Linked DNA regions of Tribolium castaneum. The protein of the gene in region 1 interacts with the protein of each later gene in a biochemical or structural test. Links are inferred from orthologs where the notes say so. Each region holds a gene or a part of one and is shown on either strand. Other genes may lie near its edges.

Region 1 (6,548 bases):
AAGGAACGAACCCTGCTCTTTGCCAGCGATCGTCGAGATGATTGCGGCTTTTATGAATAAGAAACCGGAGGACGTGGCCTTAGCTACGTCTTTTAATGCCTTGAAACTTTTCGGATTGTCTCAATGATCCGAAAGTTGTACTAATTAAGGGGAACATACAAACATATTATATTTTGTCTATTTTCGAAATCATGTGGGCAGCTTTATTAAACGAATTTAGCTATAATAGGGCGAAGAATACAACGAATCGTGTAAATAATTTTAGGTGATCACCAATGTCAACATGTTTACCAAAAGCGGTTATTACCGTTTTGGAACTATAAAGTTTATCACGTCTTATCCTGTATTTTTGTAGTTGGACTACGTTACGTTTAGCAACTGTTAAAGCCGAATTGTATATTTTAGGTAACATGAAATGTATTTGTTGACTGCTTAGTTTTATAATGCGGACGAAAGATTTATGTTGAAGTAATAGAATTACGCTTTGTTAAAGTATCATAATTTTGAATTGTTGATATAGGAAGTATGAAATTATGGCGTATAATCAATCTGATGCAATATTTTTGTTGTTGCTGTAATTTCGGTAGCATGTTCTTGTAGTTTTAATTTTATGGACGCTGTGTAGTGTAAAATGGCCCATTATTTTTGTAATTAATTTTCATATTTTAGGGGTTTGTTTGCCACAATAATTGCCTCTTTATGTGATATTTGTTTCCATTTTATAGACACAAATGTGCCTTATCTATTACAATATGAAGAATAAATAAGTTGTAATGAATTACTGTACTTTTCTTTGTCCCAAATGACCCTTTTACATAATTTATTATTGTCGTCCGTATTTACATGATAAACAAGACTCTAGAACAACAACGATAAGGATAATTCTTTGTAAACAAATAAATTCCTTTCAAAATTGAACAGACGAATTTGGCATTTCATGCAGGTATTAATGGGTGGTTTATTTGAAACGTTTGAAAAGCATAAATTGGAAAATAAATTAAAATTTGAAAAATAAAAAAGGGCGTAATTCCAAAACAAAGAAAACAGCTGATCGATAAAGCTGACGACGTAGATAAAAATCAGCTGACATGTCACCAACAACTACTGGCCAAAGTCCCTAGAATCTTGTTCAATTAAAAGCAATTTTCTTAATACCTGAAACATTGTTTTGACCACGATTAACCGAATTGGCATTAAACTGATAGCAACTAAAGTTTATGTATAAATTTTTGATTAAAGAGGACGTTTTTTGGATAATTAGTCGAAAATTCTAGAAAGTGTACTTTGGGTTCGAGATTAAAAAGGAGTGGGGGAAGCCGTCCGTATAAAAGCGGTTCCACAGCTGCATTCGCCATATTGTCTGAGCAAAAGTGGTGAAATACAAAAGCGATTTAATTAAAATTGTGAATTTTCCTAGCCGTAAAGGTATGTATTTTAATTTCATCATGAATTATTCGATTGCAAGAAGCGCAGAAAGTCGCAATTTTGTGAAATTTTTCGCATGACGCAATAACATTTGTTTGAAAAAACATCGCCCTAGTGACGTGTTTTTTTGTTTAAATTTTAACAAAATTAATTTTGTAAATTTGTCGATCTGTTCAAAACCAAACCACATAGTGAGTAATGTGTTTTTTCGGTTTATTCAGTGCGTAATTCTTTGTTCAACGAAATCCAATATGGCGGCTTGGAAATTTGCTTTGTCACAAAAGTAATTTTTTGTGTCGTTGCAGATGCAGATCTTCGTGAAGACTTTGACTGGTAAAACCATCACCTTGGAGGTCGAGCCCTCCGATACCATCGAAAACGTCAAAGCTAAGATCCAGGACAAGGAAGGTATCCCCCCAGACCAGCAACGTTTGATCTTCGCTGGCAAACAACTCGAAGACGGACGCACTTTGTCTGACTACAACATCCAGAAGGAATCGACGCTCCACTTGGTTTTGAGATTGAGGGGCGGTATGCAAATCTTCGTTAAGACACTCACTGGCAAGACCATCACTCTGGAAGTTGAGCCCTCTGATACGATCGAGAACGTCAAAGCCAAGATCCAGGACAAGGAGGGCATCCCTCCAGATCAACAGCGTTTGATTTTCGCTGGTAAACAACTCGAAGACGGACGCACCTTGTCCGATTACAACATCCAGAAGGAATCCACCCTTCACTTGGTTTTGCGTCTGAGGGGAGGCATGCAGATCTTCGTCAAGACCTTGACTGGGAAAACCATTACTTTGGAAGTCGAACCTTCCGACACGATTGAAAACGTCAAGGCTAAGATTCAGGATAAGGAAGGGATCCCACCAGACCAACAAAGATTGATCTTTGCCGGGAAACAACTAGAAGATGGGCGTACCCTCTCAGATTACAACATCCAGAAGGAATCCACCCTTCACTTGGTATTGCGTTTGAGAGGTGGCATGCAAATTTTCGTCAAAACCCTGACTGGCAAGACCATCACCTTGGAGGTCGAACCTTCTGATACCATTGAGAATGTTAAGGCCAAGATCCAAGACAAGGAAGGTATCCCACCAGACCAACAAAGATTGATCTTCGCTGGAAAACAACTTGAAGACGGCCGTACTCTTTCCGACTACAATATCCAAAAAGAATCCACCCTCCACTTGGTGTTGCGTCTCCGAGGTGGCATGCAAATTTTCGTGAAGACTTTGACTGGAAAAACGATCACTCTTGAAGTCGAACCTTCGGACACAATCGAAAACGTGAAGGCGAAAATTCAGGACAAAGAGGGGATTCCCCCAGATCAGCAAAGATTGATTTTCGCCGGCAAACAGTTGGAGGATGGTCGCACACTCTCCGACTACAACATCCAGAAAGAGTCGACCCTCCACTTGGTGTTGCGTCTCCGTGGTGGCATGCAAATCTTCGTAAAGACTTTGACTGGGAAGACGATCACTTTGGAAGTAGAACCATCGGACACTATCGAAAACGTTAAGGCGAAAATTCAGGACAAAGAGGGGATTCCCCCAGATCAGCAGAGGTTGATCTTCGCCGGCAAACAGCTCGAAGATGGCCGAACTCTCTCCGACTACAACATTCAAAAAGAATCAACACTCCACTTAGTATTGCGGCTCCGAGGTGGCATGCAAATTTTCGTTAAAACTCTGACTGGCAAAACCATCACCCTGGAAGTCGAACCTTCTGATACAATTGAGAACGTCAAGGCTAAGATTCAAGACAAAGAGGGTATCCCACCAGACCAACAAAGATTGATCTTTGCTGGAAAACAACTAGAAGACGGCCGTACTCTTTCCGATTACAATATCCAGAAGGAATCCACTCTCCACTTGGTGTTGCGTCTCCGAGGTGGCATGCAAATTTTCGTGAAGACCTTGACGGGAAAGACGATCACTTTGGAAGTAGAACCCTCAGACACAATTGAGAATGTTAAAGCTAAAATCCAGGATAAAGAAGGCATTCCTCCAGATCAGCAGAGGTTGATCTTTGCTGGCAAACAACTCGAAGATGGGCGCACCCTGTCGGACTATAATATTCAAAAAGAATCAACCCTACATTTAGTATTGCGTCTGCGAGGAGGTATGCAAATTTTCGTGAAGACGTTGACTGGGAAAACAATTACGTTGGAAGTTGAGCCATCGGACACGATTGAAAATGTGAAGGCCAAAATTCAAGATAAGGAAGGTATTCCCCCAGACCAGCAAAGATTGATCTTTGCGGGAAAACAGTTGGAAGATGGTCGCACACTTTCGGACTACAATATCCAAAAGGAATCCACTCTTCATCTAGTCTTACGTCTTCGCGGAGGACAGTAATTTTCTGGAATTTCTATGCTTAATATTTTTTTTACTTTTTGTTACAAGTTTCCTGAAATTACGAATAGAGAATAAAGATTGATGGCTTAATTCTTGTGTTTTATTTTAGTACTCCATGTGAATTAATTCAAAAAAATGCTTATCAAAATTTTAAAACATTTGGCTTTACGGGGTTGGTTTGTCTTTGGATTTGGAGCTTAGACGAGATTGTAGGCCCGCGAGAATGTACGCTCACGAGAATTCTCCAAAAATCGCCAACACACAAATTGAAATTAAAAAAAGATTTGAGGTATATTTCCAACAAGGCAACAAATTCTTAAAAAAATAAGTTATTCATATGACTGCACATATTTTGGAGTAATTCGTTAAGCTAAATACAGTGTTAAAAATAAAGACTTCACTTTCATTGATATTCGGAGAAACCGGACTTGGCAGCCGATCGAATTTGACGTTAGGCATAAAAATAAAAAACTTAAAGACAAAAAAAATGATAACATTTAATCACCCACACAAAACTCAATGGAACTACCTACAAGTTAATGACAATGTCACAAAAAACTTTTTCGATTCGACCGTATTTGGCAAAAAATCCATTTCAAATGCATTCATTGTTTTACGCTAGTGCGCATAGATAGCAATAATAATATTACAGGTTACTATAAATATAAGTTAATAAAATTAATTTTGGCACTTAACACCTAGATGCCGCCATCAACTTTTTTTTTTAATAATGAAAATTATCGCTGCCTACATTTTTTGTTTTTAATTTTTTTGTGTAATTTAAAAAGTTTAATAAAAATATAGTAAAAATTTTATAAAATCTGCGATTCACAAAATGCGAATTATCTTCGTTCCCGTACAAGATAAAGGGGTGGTTCTGCCCTTTTGAAAACCCTACCGCCCCGTAGTATTTTTCCTGGGCTATCGACTGGAATGGGTCTCGTTCCCGTATCTCCATCAGGAACCGAAATAGCATTGCACATTTTTAAATCGGGAATCGAAGTACATGACGTAATAGTGCCGCAAAAGTTACGTGTGCATGCAAAATTTGAGGTTGCTACGATAACAGGAAGTGCCTCAAAATTGACTTGTAAAATTTGATTCAAAATAAATCACATTAAATAAAGACTTTGAACAAAAAAGCTGAAGTTTTTTATTGGAGTTTTTATTCAAGTTGCTTTGTTTGTAGTCTTTCGGAATTATAAATATTTTGAACTTAAATTTGAGACACTTCCTGTTATCGTAGCAACTTGAAATTTTGCATGCACACGTAACTTTTGGAGCACTATTACGTCATGTACTTCGATTCCCGATTAAAAAATGTGCAATGCTATTTCAGTTCCTGATGGAGATACGGGAACGGGACATATCCCATTCGATAGCCCAGGAAAAATACTACGGGGCAGTAGGGTTTTCAAAAGGGCAGAACCACCCCTCTATCTCCTACAGGAACGGAGATATTTAAGATTTTGTGAATTACAAGATTTTCTTCAATTTTTATAAAAATTTTGTAAACAACCTAAAATTTTCTTTCACTTTTCAAAATTTTTATAGAAATTTAAGGAAATCTTGCATTTCACAAAATGCGAAATATCTCCGTTTCTGTAGGAGATAGAGGGGTGGTTCTGCCCTTTTGAAAACCCTACTGCCCCGTAGTATTTTTCCTGGGCTATCGAATAGGCTAGGCCCCGTTCCCGTATCTCCATCAGGAACCGAAATAGCATTGCACATTTTTTAATCGGGAATCGAAGTACATGACGTAATAGTGCTCCAAAAGTTACGTGTGCATGCAAAATTTCAAGTTGCTACGACAACAGGAAGTGTCTCAAATTTAAGTTCAAAATATTTATAATTCCGAAAGACTGCAAACAAAGCAAGTTAAATAAAAACTCCAATAAAAAACTTCAGCTTTTTTGTTCAGAGTCTTTATTTAATGCGATTTATTTTGAATCATATTTTACGAGTTAAATTTGGGACACTTCCTGTTACCGTAGCAACTTGAAATTTTGCTTGCACACGTAACTTTTGGAGCACTATTACGTCATGTACTTCGATTCCCGATTAAAAAATGTGCAATGCTATTTCGGTTCCTGATGGAGATACGGGAACGGGACATATCCCATTCGATAGCGCAGGAAAAATACTACGGGGCAGTAGGGTTTTCAAAAGGGCAGAACCACCCCTCTATCTTCTACAGGAACGAAGATATTTCGCATTTTGTGAATCGCAGATTTTATAAAATTTTTACTATATCTTTATTAATTTTTTAAAATTACACAAAAAAATTACATACAAGAAAACGAAGCAAATGATATTTTCCATTCTCTTTAAAAAAAAAATTTTGATGGCGTCATCTAAGCGTAGGTAAACTAAAAGTTTACAGTATTCTATAAAATTGTAACTGCCATCTATGTGCAATATTTAAAAACAGTTAATGCGCCCGATTTATATTTGTAGCGAAGTCCGGTTGTTTAAATATTGTTAAACCAAAAAATGTTCAACCTATCACTTAAATAAATCATTTATTTGTGCAATAGCATGCTTTCATATGTTTAAAACCACCAAGTTTACGTGTCCCCCTTTTTTATAAACTTGACATGCTCTCCACTCAGATTAGCCTTGGGTTGGCAATCCTTAAAAAATTCTCGTCAGCGTAAATTCTCGCCTATGCGCTGGACTCTTGACAGCTTCTGACTTCGCAAATTCGTTGTCGTTTTGTTTGGTGTTCTCACCATGTATAGATAGTCCTGGTGAACCAAC
Region 2 (8,028 bases), on another chromosome or scaffold:
TGTAACGGAACTGTATTCATGGAAGCTTTTACACCCAACTGACCACCATCAGAATAAAGAGTGCCCACAAGAGGCCGAGGAATACGAAAGGGCGACACGGTATAATTACAGCGACGAGGAAAAATTCGCGCTAATTGAAGTCATTGCGATGATTAAGGGATTACAAGTGCTGATGGCCAGAATGGAAACGGTGTTCACTGACGCAATTCGGCGGAATATTTACGCCGAATTGCAAGATTTCGTACAGATTATTTTGAGGGAACCGCTGAGGAAAGCAATTAAAAATAAAAAGGATCTTATCAGAAGGTAGCGCGTTTTTGTGTCCACATCACGTAACACGTTTTTTTAGTATCATTATGTCGGTGCGAGAAACTTGCGCTGATTGGCAGAGAGGTGTCGAGCCGACTCAAGACCCGGCTTTGAGGGGCAAAAAGGACGATAACGGGTTTAATGTTAAAGTGCCAAGGAGAAACGTGGGTCCTTCCTCCACCCAACTTTACATGGTCAGGACAATGCTGGAGTCGCTAATTGCCGATAAATCAGGCGGCAAAAGAACCCTGAGGAAGGACATAGACGGTCAATATTTAATGCAAATTGACCAGTTCCACAAAACCTCCTTCTACTGGAATTATCTTCTCAGTTTCAGTGGTACGTACAAAAACATTGATATTAATTCATTTCCTCCCAGAATCGTTGCAGCAATGTTGCGACCTGTCGCAGCTGTGGTACAGAGAGTTCTACCTCGAGATGACCATGGGACGGAGAATAAACGTGAGTAACGCGTAATTTTGCCAAAAATTTGCCAAACTTTTCATAGAAATGCACCGTGCGTCACGCTCATAACGAAGAATGTAACGATTTGATCACGATGGAAAAACGCATACAATTCCCAATCGACATGTCCATGCCTTGGATTTTGACTGATCATATTTTGAAAACTAAGGAACCCTCGATGATGGAGTACGTCTTGTACCCGCTTGATTTATACAATGATAGCGCGCTTTACGCACTGACAATATTCCGAAAGCAATTTTTATACGATGAGGTCGAGGCTGAAGTTAATTTATGTTTTGATCAGTTTGTTTATAAACTGAGCGAGCAAATTTTCGCGTACTATAAACAACTGGCGGCAAGGTATTGATAAAAATCATGGGAACGCTTTCACAATCAATCCTTTCAGTATCTTTCTTGATAAGCGCTTCAGAGTGGAGTGTGCCGCCTTGGGGGCTTACCTGCTCCCCTACCCGCGAGCAAATCGTTACGAAACCTTGCTAAAACAGCGGCACGTCCAGTTATTAGGGCGGTCGATCGATTTGAATAAGTTGATCACTCAGAGGATCAACACCGACATGCAGAAAAGTCTCGATTTGGCAATAAGTAAGTTCGAAGGCGGTGACATAACCGGGGTTATGGAACTGGAAGGCCTCCTACAAGTGAATCGGTTGTGTCATAAATTGCTGAGCAAGTGGCTCGCACTTGACGATTTCGATTCAATGTATCGTGAGGCTAATCACAACGTTTTGGCGCCCTATGGCCGCATCACCTTGCATGTGTTTTGGGAGCTGAACTACGATTTCTTGCCTAATTACGTCTACAATGCCGCGACGAACAGATTTACTAAGTATCGGGGGCAGATTGCTTTCGCGGGGGCTGTCCACAGAGATAAGCCGCCGCAAATGTCGCATCATTACATGTGGGGGAGCAAGCAACTGAACCTTGCCTACACGACTCAGTATGGCCAATATTCCGGTAAATCTAGCTTATGGTCCTAATTTTGTTTAACTAGTACGGTTTAGGGTTCGTCGGGCCTCAGCATTTCCACACAATGTGCAAACTCTTGGGTTATCAAGGCATTGCAGTTGTGATGGAGGAGCTCCTCAAAATTGTCAAAAGTCTGATCCAAGGGAACCTCCTCCAATTCACCAAAACTCTAATGGAGGTCATGCCAAAGCAGTGCAAATTGCCACGTTACGATTACGGCTCACCGGGTAATGATTTGCTTGATTTGGGCGGAATTAATAAGACGAATTTTAGGTGTGTTAAGTTACTACCACGCCCAATTGAACGACATTGTCCAATACCCCGATGCCAGGACCGAGTTGTTCCACAATTTCCGAGAATTTGGGAACATTATCCTGTTTTGTTTACTGATGGAACAGGCCTTGTCACAGGAGGAAGTCTGTGATTTGTTGCAAGCGGCACCGTTTCAGAATATCCTCCCACGGCCGTTTTGCAAGGAAGGGGAGAAGCCCGAAACGAAGCAGAAACGGCTTGAAGCCAAATATGCCGCCTTGCAGATTGTACCAAATATAGAGAAGTTAGGAACTGCAAAGGTTGGATAAATGTGCAAACAACTGTTTGTTATTTCGCCAATTTGTAGCAATCTTTGATATCGAAGGAGGGCGATTTATTGACCCGTGAGCGGCTGTGCTGCGGTCTCTCGATTTTTGAAGTTGTTTTGAACCGATTAAGGACCTTCCTGGACGATTCGGTTTGGGTCGGACCGCCGCCTGCTAACGGTGTCATGAACGTTGACGAATGCACCGAGTTCCATCGCTTGTGGTCGGCTTTACAATTCGTCTATTGTATTCCAGTTAGCGAGAACGAATATACTGTCGAGTGGGTACCGACTTTATGTTTCGTTTTATTTATTCCGTGTTTCAGGGAAATGTTTGGCGAAGGTTTGCATTGGGCGGGGTGTACAATGATCGTGCTTCTGGACCAGCAAAGGCGGTTTGAGGCCCTCGATTTCTGTTACCACATTCTGAGAGTACAAAGAGTTGACATGAAGGATGAAATTGTGAAAGGCATTGTATGTTGGTTGTACGGTTGTTTTCGGTCTATAATTGTCTTTCCCAGAGCTTGAAGAGAATGGTGGACAGGATCAGGCGCTTCCAAGTGCTCAATTCGCAGATCTTTGCGATTTTGAACAAGTTTTTGAAGTCGAGTGAGAACGACGAGTTGTCGGTTGAACATGTACGTTGTTTCCCGCCACCGGTCTACCCAATGAATCCGCAACAGCACTACCACGCACCCGAACATCTACGCCAGTGTTGAAGCACGTTTATTTTATACATTTGTTGGAATCAGCTTTCAACATTTTATAATCTTTTATATTTATTATAGTCCTACTACATGTGTAAATCTCATTACAAATGTATCGCCCACCCTCATTTATTATCGGCCTTATTGGTATTGCTTTAATTTTTCATAATAAAATTTTCGATGCCTGCTTGAGTGTGTTTTATTTCGCGCGTTGTTTCAAATTCAGGGCTGCCAACCGGGGACTTAGTCCCGCTGGTGACTGTTGATAGCAGCTGTTCGTCGTGTGTTGACAGTAGTTGAGAGATTTGTCAAACTATAGAAAATAATTCAATAATTTTGTAGTATTTTCTGTATTTTGAAAAATTAGACAATGACAATTTTACCAGCCAAAAGACCTTCGGCGAATCCGGAGGAGAAAAGCGACAATAGTCAGCAAAATGTGAGTAGATATGTTAAACTTGTCATTTTTGATCTTTTTTTAAGGAGAAACTTCATAATCATAAATCGTGTTATCTTTATTGTCAGCGTGTTGGACTAGCGAAATCTTTGCTTGATCTTGAAATTTTGTACACGATTGCGTAATTAGATAGGTTTAATAATGTAATAATGTAAAATAGGTAGGTAATGATTGCTTTCCAATACTAGCTCAAGAGCTGTCTAGGTCGGCTTCCTTTGTTCGAATAATTAAGGCCCGACTTTTTTTAGGGGAATTCCGAGCGAGCGGTGCGTAGGAGAGACGATATAAGTTCTCTGAATGAGGCAAGCCCTTCAAGCCGCCGATCTCAGTTCCCCTAGTAAGTTTCCACCCTCAATCGCGGAAAAATTCATTCTTGCTTCCAGCGTCAAGTCAACAACTGAGCGGAAAGAGCGTTTGAGGAAGCGATATAAAGAGCCAGATCGGGCGCGAGATAGGGAACGCGAGCGCGAACAAAAACGGGAAGTTCGGAGGGAACAAAAACGGGAACGAGTTGCTAAACGCGATATCTCAAATGAGCCTCTACATGACAATAATGCGAGTAATTCGGTTGTTGACTCAGTCGCTGTTGAGCCCACTTGCAACAACAACGAACCTGGGACTGCGAACAAGGAAGACTACACGGGCTTCAACAGCGAGGATGAGTACGATGACCAGGGACTCCTCAAAGAGCGGAACATACCGGATGAAGAGTGGCAAAAAAGGGACGTGTTATTTTCCCGCGGCATGTCCAACCTTGGGTTCGAAATCAAGCAAATGAACGAAGATGGGGCCTGTCTCTTCCGGTCGATAGCAGACCAAGTGTACGGCGACCAAGAATTCCATTATCAAGTCAGGCAGGACTGCATGAACTACATCGTAAGTTGTACGCAAAGTGGGGATTTTTTCTAATTTGTTTCTGGAAGGTTCAAAACCGTGACTACTTTGAACCTTACGTGACGGAGGATTTTGATAAATACGTTGCACGGAAACGTATATGGAACGTACATGGCAACCATTTAGAAATACAAGCAATGAGCGAGTTATATAATAGGACAATCGAAGTTTATTGCTACCAAATAAGTAATTTTTGCCTTTCTTCCGCCTGATTTTTACTAATACGCCGTTTCCAGCACCAATCAATATATTCAATGGTTCAAGATTAATTAACTCATATGAGCCTATTAGATTATCATACCACAGGATGTGTCATTATAATTCTATTAGTAACCCAAATAAACCTTCAGTAGGGGTAGGCTTAGGTTTACCCAATTACCATACCGTTGATATTGACAGAAGAAGGTTCAATGACGCTCTGCGGGCTAGTGATGAGTTGCTAATTGAACAGGTAAACCAATCAAATAATTCCCATTCATAAAAAAGTCACTGAATTTTTATAACATACTAACCACACAGTGGCGTACCAAAACATGTCCCTTTCTTCGCTCCCGCTGATTAAAAATGTATTATTTAAATTGATTACGTTCGGGGTTTTTTGCCCATTCGTGAAAAAAATATTTTTTGCGCCGAGTTTTGTAGAATTCTTTGGTAGAATTTTTGTCTTATTCGTTACTAATCAATTTTTTTCTTGTAGAAACGTGCTGATGGAGCTCGGTCGGAACCGCTTTGTCGCGGTACAAACTACCAAGTACAATGGTTTTTAACAGTGAAATTTAAAATATGGAACGTAAAAATAGTAAAATAAAATTTTATTTCAATTTATCACGATGGGAAATCGCAGTCGTCGTATTTTTGTGATTTTCTTGTTTTTATCAATAAATATACACTCACTTGTTATTGTTACGCCACTGGGAAACCTCATGTTGCGCATGAGATAAGTTACGGTTTTGCTTGCTGTGCGCACTCCAGGTAGCAGGCCCCACCTTTGTTCAAGGCTGCAAAACGGTTAGATAACGAAGCCTCAGGGGCGGAGCACAGCCACTGTCACAAGGCAGTAGCGTAGATGTAATCGAAAACACTTCGGTAAAAATTATAGGGGCTTTCACGAATTATTCTCAAAATTTTAACAATTACGCCTATCACTTTCTTCAAAATAAATAAAAGTACAACAAAACCCACATAAAACCTAGACTCGCGCTCATTACAGTATTATTACAATGTAAAATGAAGCTACTAGCTCGCTTTGGACGTTTTTTTATGTATTTTGAGGAATCGAATTCTTATTACAAAAATTCTACAGTGAAACCTCGTTATCCGAATTTAAAAAAGTAAAATTCGAGTTAAGGCGAATTCGTGTACACACTTCGCTCAGACTTTTTTTTGCTTTTACGCCAGTATTACTAATAAATTAAATTACTAATAAATCCTAATAAACATTTCACTAACCACAAGCGATGTCATAAAATTGACAGAAATAACACTTCAGAACCGGTGAGAGTGTAACGTATCTGTAGCCATGGGGGTACATTTTGAGACACACTGTACAGCACCGCTTTTATTACACTGTGTTTCGATCTACATTTATCGAAGCGACACGTAAGAAATGACAAAGGCGTTTTTTTCACCGCTTAAACTTATCTGTGCGTTCAAATCCACACAGGGACAAGTCACAATCCCTTGTAAGTGCCATTTTTAAGTCAAATTACTAAGCGTACTAGGCGTAATGAATGTGAGGTTATACATACCATTTTTTCGGTGAATTGGGACGGGGTTGCACTTTGCACTGTTAAACCCACACAAAGTGAATTATTGCAACAGTTTCGATGTAATATTCAAATTAAGTTGTGTACCGCACTGCTATCACTACATTGTCTAGTAGGGGGTGCCAACGTTGAAAACTCAAAAACCACGCAATGTTCACTAGCAAAATATAAAAACAAACATAAAAAAACACCCAGGCACACATTTTCACATATAAATTAACAAATTTACAAGTTTTGGTGGCGGGATTTCAACAAGTATGTGGACGCGAGATGGCGGTATAATCGTCCGGGACGTTTCTGTTCTCTGATTGGCTGTTGGTGTATAATACAATACTCGGAAATATTAGAAGATTAATTTTTTCCGACGTGATATATGCGTACAGATAGTGTTGTTTTGAATTACTAAGTGTTAGCTTTGTATTACAAAGGTTATTATATTTTTTTTCGTCTGTCGTGGATCTAGTTACGTGCATCCGTGAGACCCGAAATTGGCGCCCTGATTGACAGTTGTCTTGACTAATCAGAATCTTTCTAGACTATGCTAGAAGACAAGTTGAAAGCAACCGACTTTGAAGCCACCAACGAAGCCATCGAAGAACAGGTAGCTCGCGAGTCCTACATCCAATATTTTCGCGACTCAGAACGCCGTTTGAAGAACCAAGGACACTCCTGTGGTAGCAGTTCAACGATAACATCAGCAACCATGTCCAGCTCGCGCTCGTCGAGGAAAGGCTCGGTCTCCCCGAAGGGATCGCAGTCCCCCAAAGGGTCCAACTCGCCAAAGACAACACCACTAGGTACTCAAGTGTGAGTCGATGGCGTTTTTTAACATTTCCTTGCAGCGAGCCCCCGAGGCGCTGGGGCGCCGTCCCCATCGACTAGCCGCTATGAGGCCGACGTCAGCGGGGGCGATGTGGCGGGAGCCTGCGGTGGACCACCGGAGGAATTTCCGAAATTTTCGCCGCGCCGTTCTGAGCCCCCGGCCGAGGATGTTAATAACCCGGACTATGATGAAAATTTCAACGAGGACTTTAAATTTGATTTTGATTCCGATTCGGATCAGTCGGCTGGGGCCGGGCCATCAAACCGCGGTGATATAGGTTTGTCTGATTTTTGCTTCAAACAAAATGGACGTCGATTAAGTGCATTTTTCGGACAAAAATTGATATTTTAGCGATTTTTTCAGCTAGCCCTCCGGCCAAATGCGCTGCTTCATCGCAGGATAATCGAGTTATTACGGTAGGGTTAGCTTAGAAAAATTCTAAGCCCACATGTAATTGGGCAAAAATCGTGGTTCCTGAAGAGATTAGAGCTTGTAAAAGCTGTAGGTACAGCTAAATGGACCACCTATATTTTTTGCATTTTTGGATGCAGCTTTTAAAACTAATGACTTTGACTTTTATTTTTTTGAACTTTTGAACTTTTATTATTTTATTATACTTGTTATTATATTTTTTCACTTAGTAACATTATCATTTACAATTTTTCTTCATGTGTCACTCGCTATAACATACTACAATTTAATTACGTTATTGTAATTTAAAGTATCTGACAATTTAAGATATATTCTTTGGGGAAGCTTTTAAAAAAACATGGAATATTATTTTGTACTTTTTGCATATTGTGAGTGATTAAATTTAAAAAATATACAGAGCACTTAAAAACTGGCGCACCACGTTCTTGAGAAGCAAATGTAGATTACAGGAAAAATCTTAAAAAATTCCTACATTTATATTATAAAAAATATGGGCATACAAATTTACTTTGTTGACTCTTTTTTAATGTTTTTATGTTTCACACTTCCGATACCGGCTGTTAGACAATGATGCCACATATTTGACAGTCACAATTTAAGACAATTTAAAG

What was found.
Region 2: the proteins of Ubi-p63E (region 1) and Duba form a complex in vitro, tested with the Homo sapiens proteins (9 studies listed by BioGRID, with this or other methods). The link is inferred for Tribolium castaneum from reciprocal best matches to the Homo sapiens genes UBC and OTUD5.

What each region holds. Positions count from the first base shown.
Region 1 is NC_087396.1:13,942,831-13,949,378, forward strand, and holds Ubi-p63E (polyubiquitin), read left to right. Parts: upstream 1-1,476; 5' UTR 1,477-1,616; intron 1,617-1,730; coding exon 1,731-3,788; 3' UTR 3,789-3,878; downstream 3,879-6,548. Other genes in the region: 3'-5' ssDNA/RNA exonuclease TatD, read left to right, coding at 1-127.
Region 2 is NC_087403.1:2,183,744-2,191,771, forward strand, and holds the start of Duba (OTU domain-containing protein 5-A), read left to right. Parts: upstream 1-3,297; 5' UTR 3,298-3,415; coding exon 3,416-3,484; intron 3,485-3,750; coding exon 3,751-3,839; intron 3,840-3,885; coding exon 3,886-4,378; intron 4,379-4,425; coding exon 4,426-4,582; intron 4,583-4,632; coding exon 4,633-4,847; intron 4,848-6,697; coding exon 6,698-6,959; intron 6,960-7,004; coding exon 7,005-7,262; intron 7,263-8,028. Other genes in the region: Cyfip (cytoplasmic FMR1-interacting protein), read left to right, coding at 1-306, 350-648, 689-771, 818-1,134, 1,181-1,749, 1,797-1,988, 2,035-2,333, 2,381-2,619 and 2 more. UniProt on the Homo sapiens protein: Deubiquitinating enzyme that functions as a negative regulator of the innate immune system. Has peptidase activity towards 'Lys-48'- and 'Lys-63'-linked polyubiquitin chains. Can also cleave 'Lys-11'-linked ubiquitin chains (in vitro).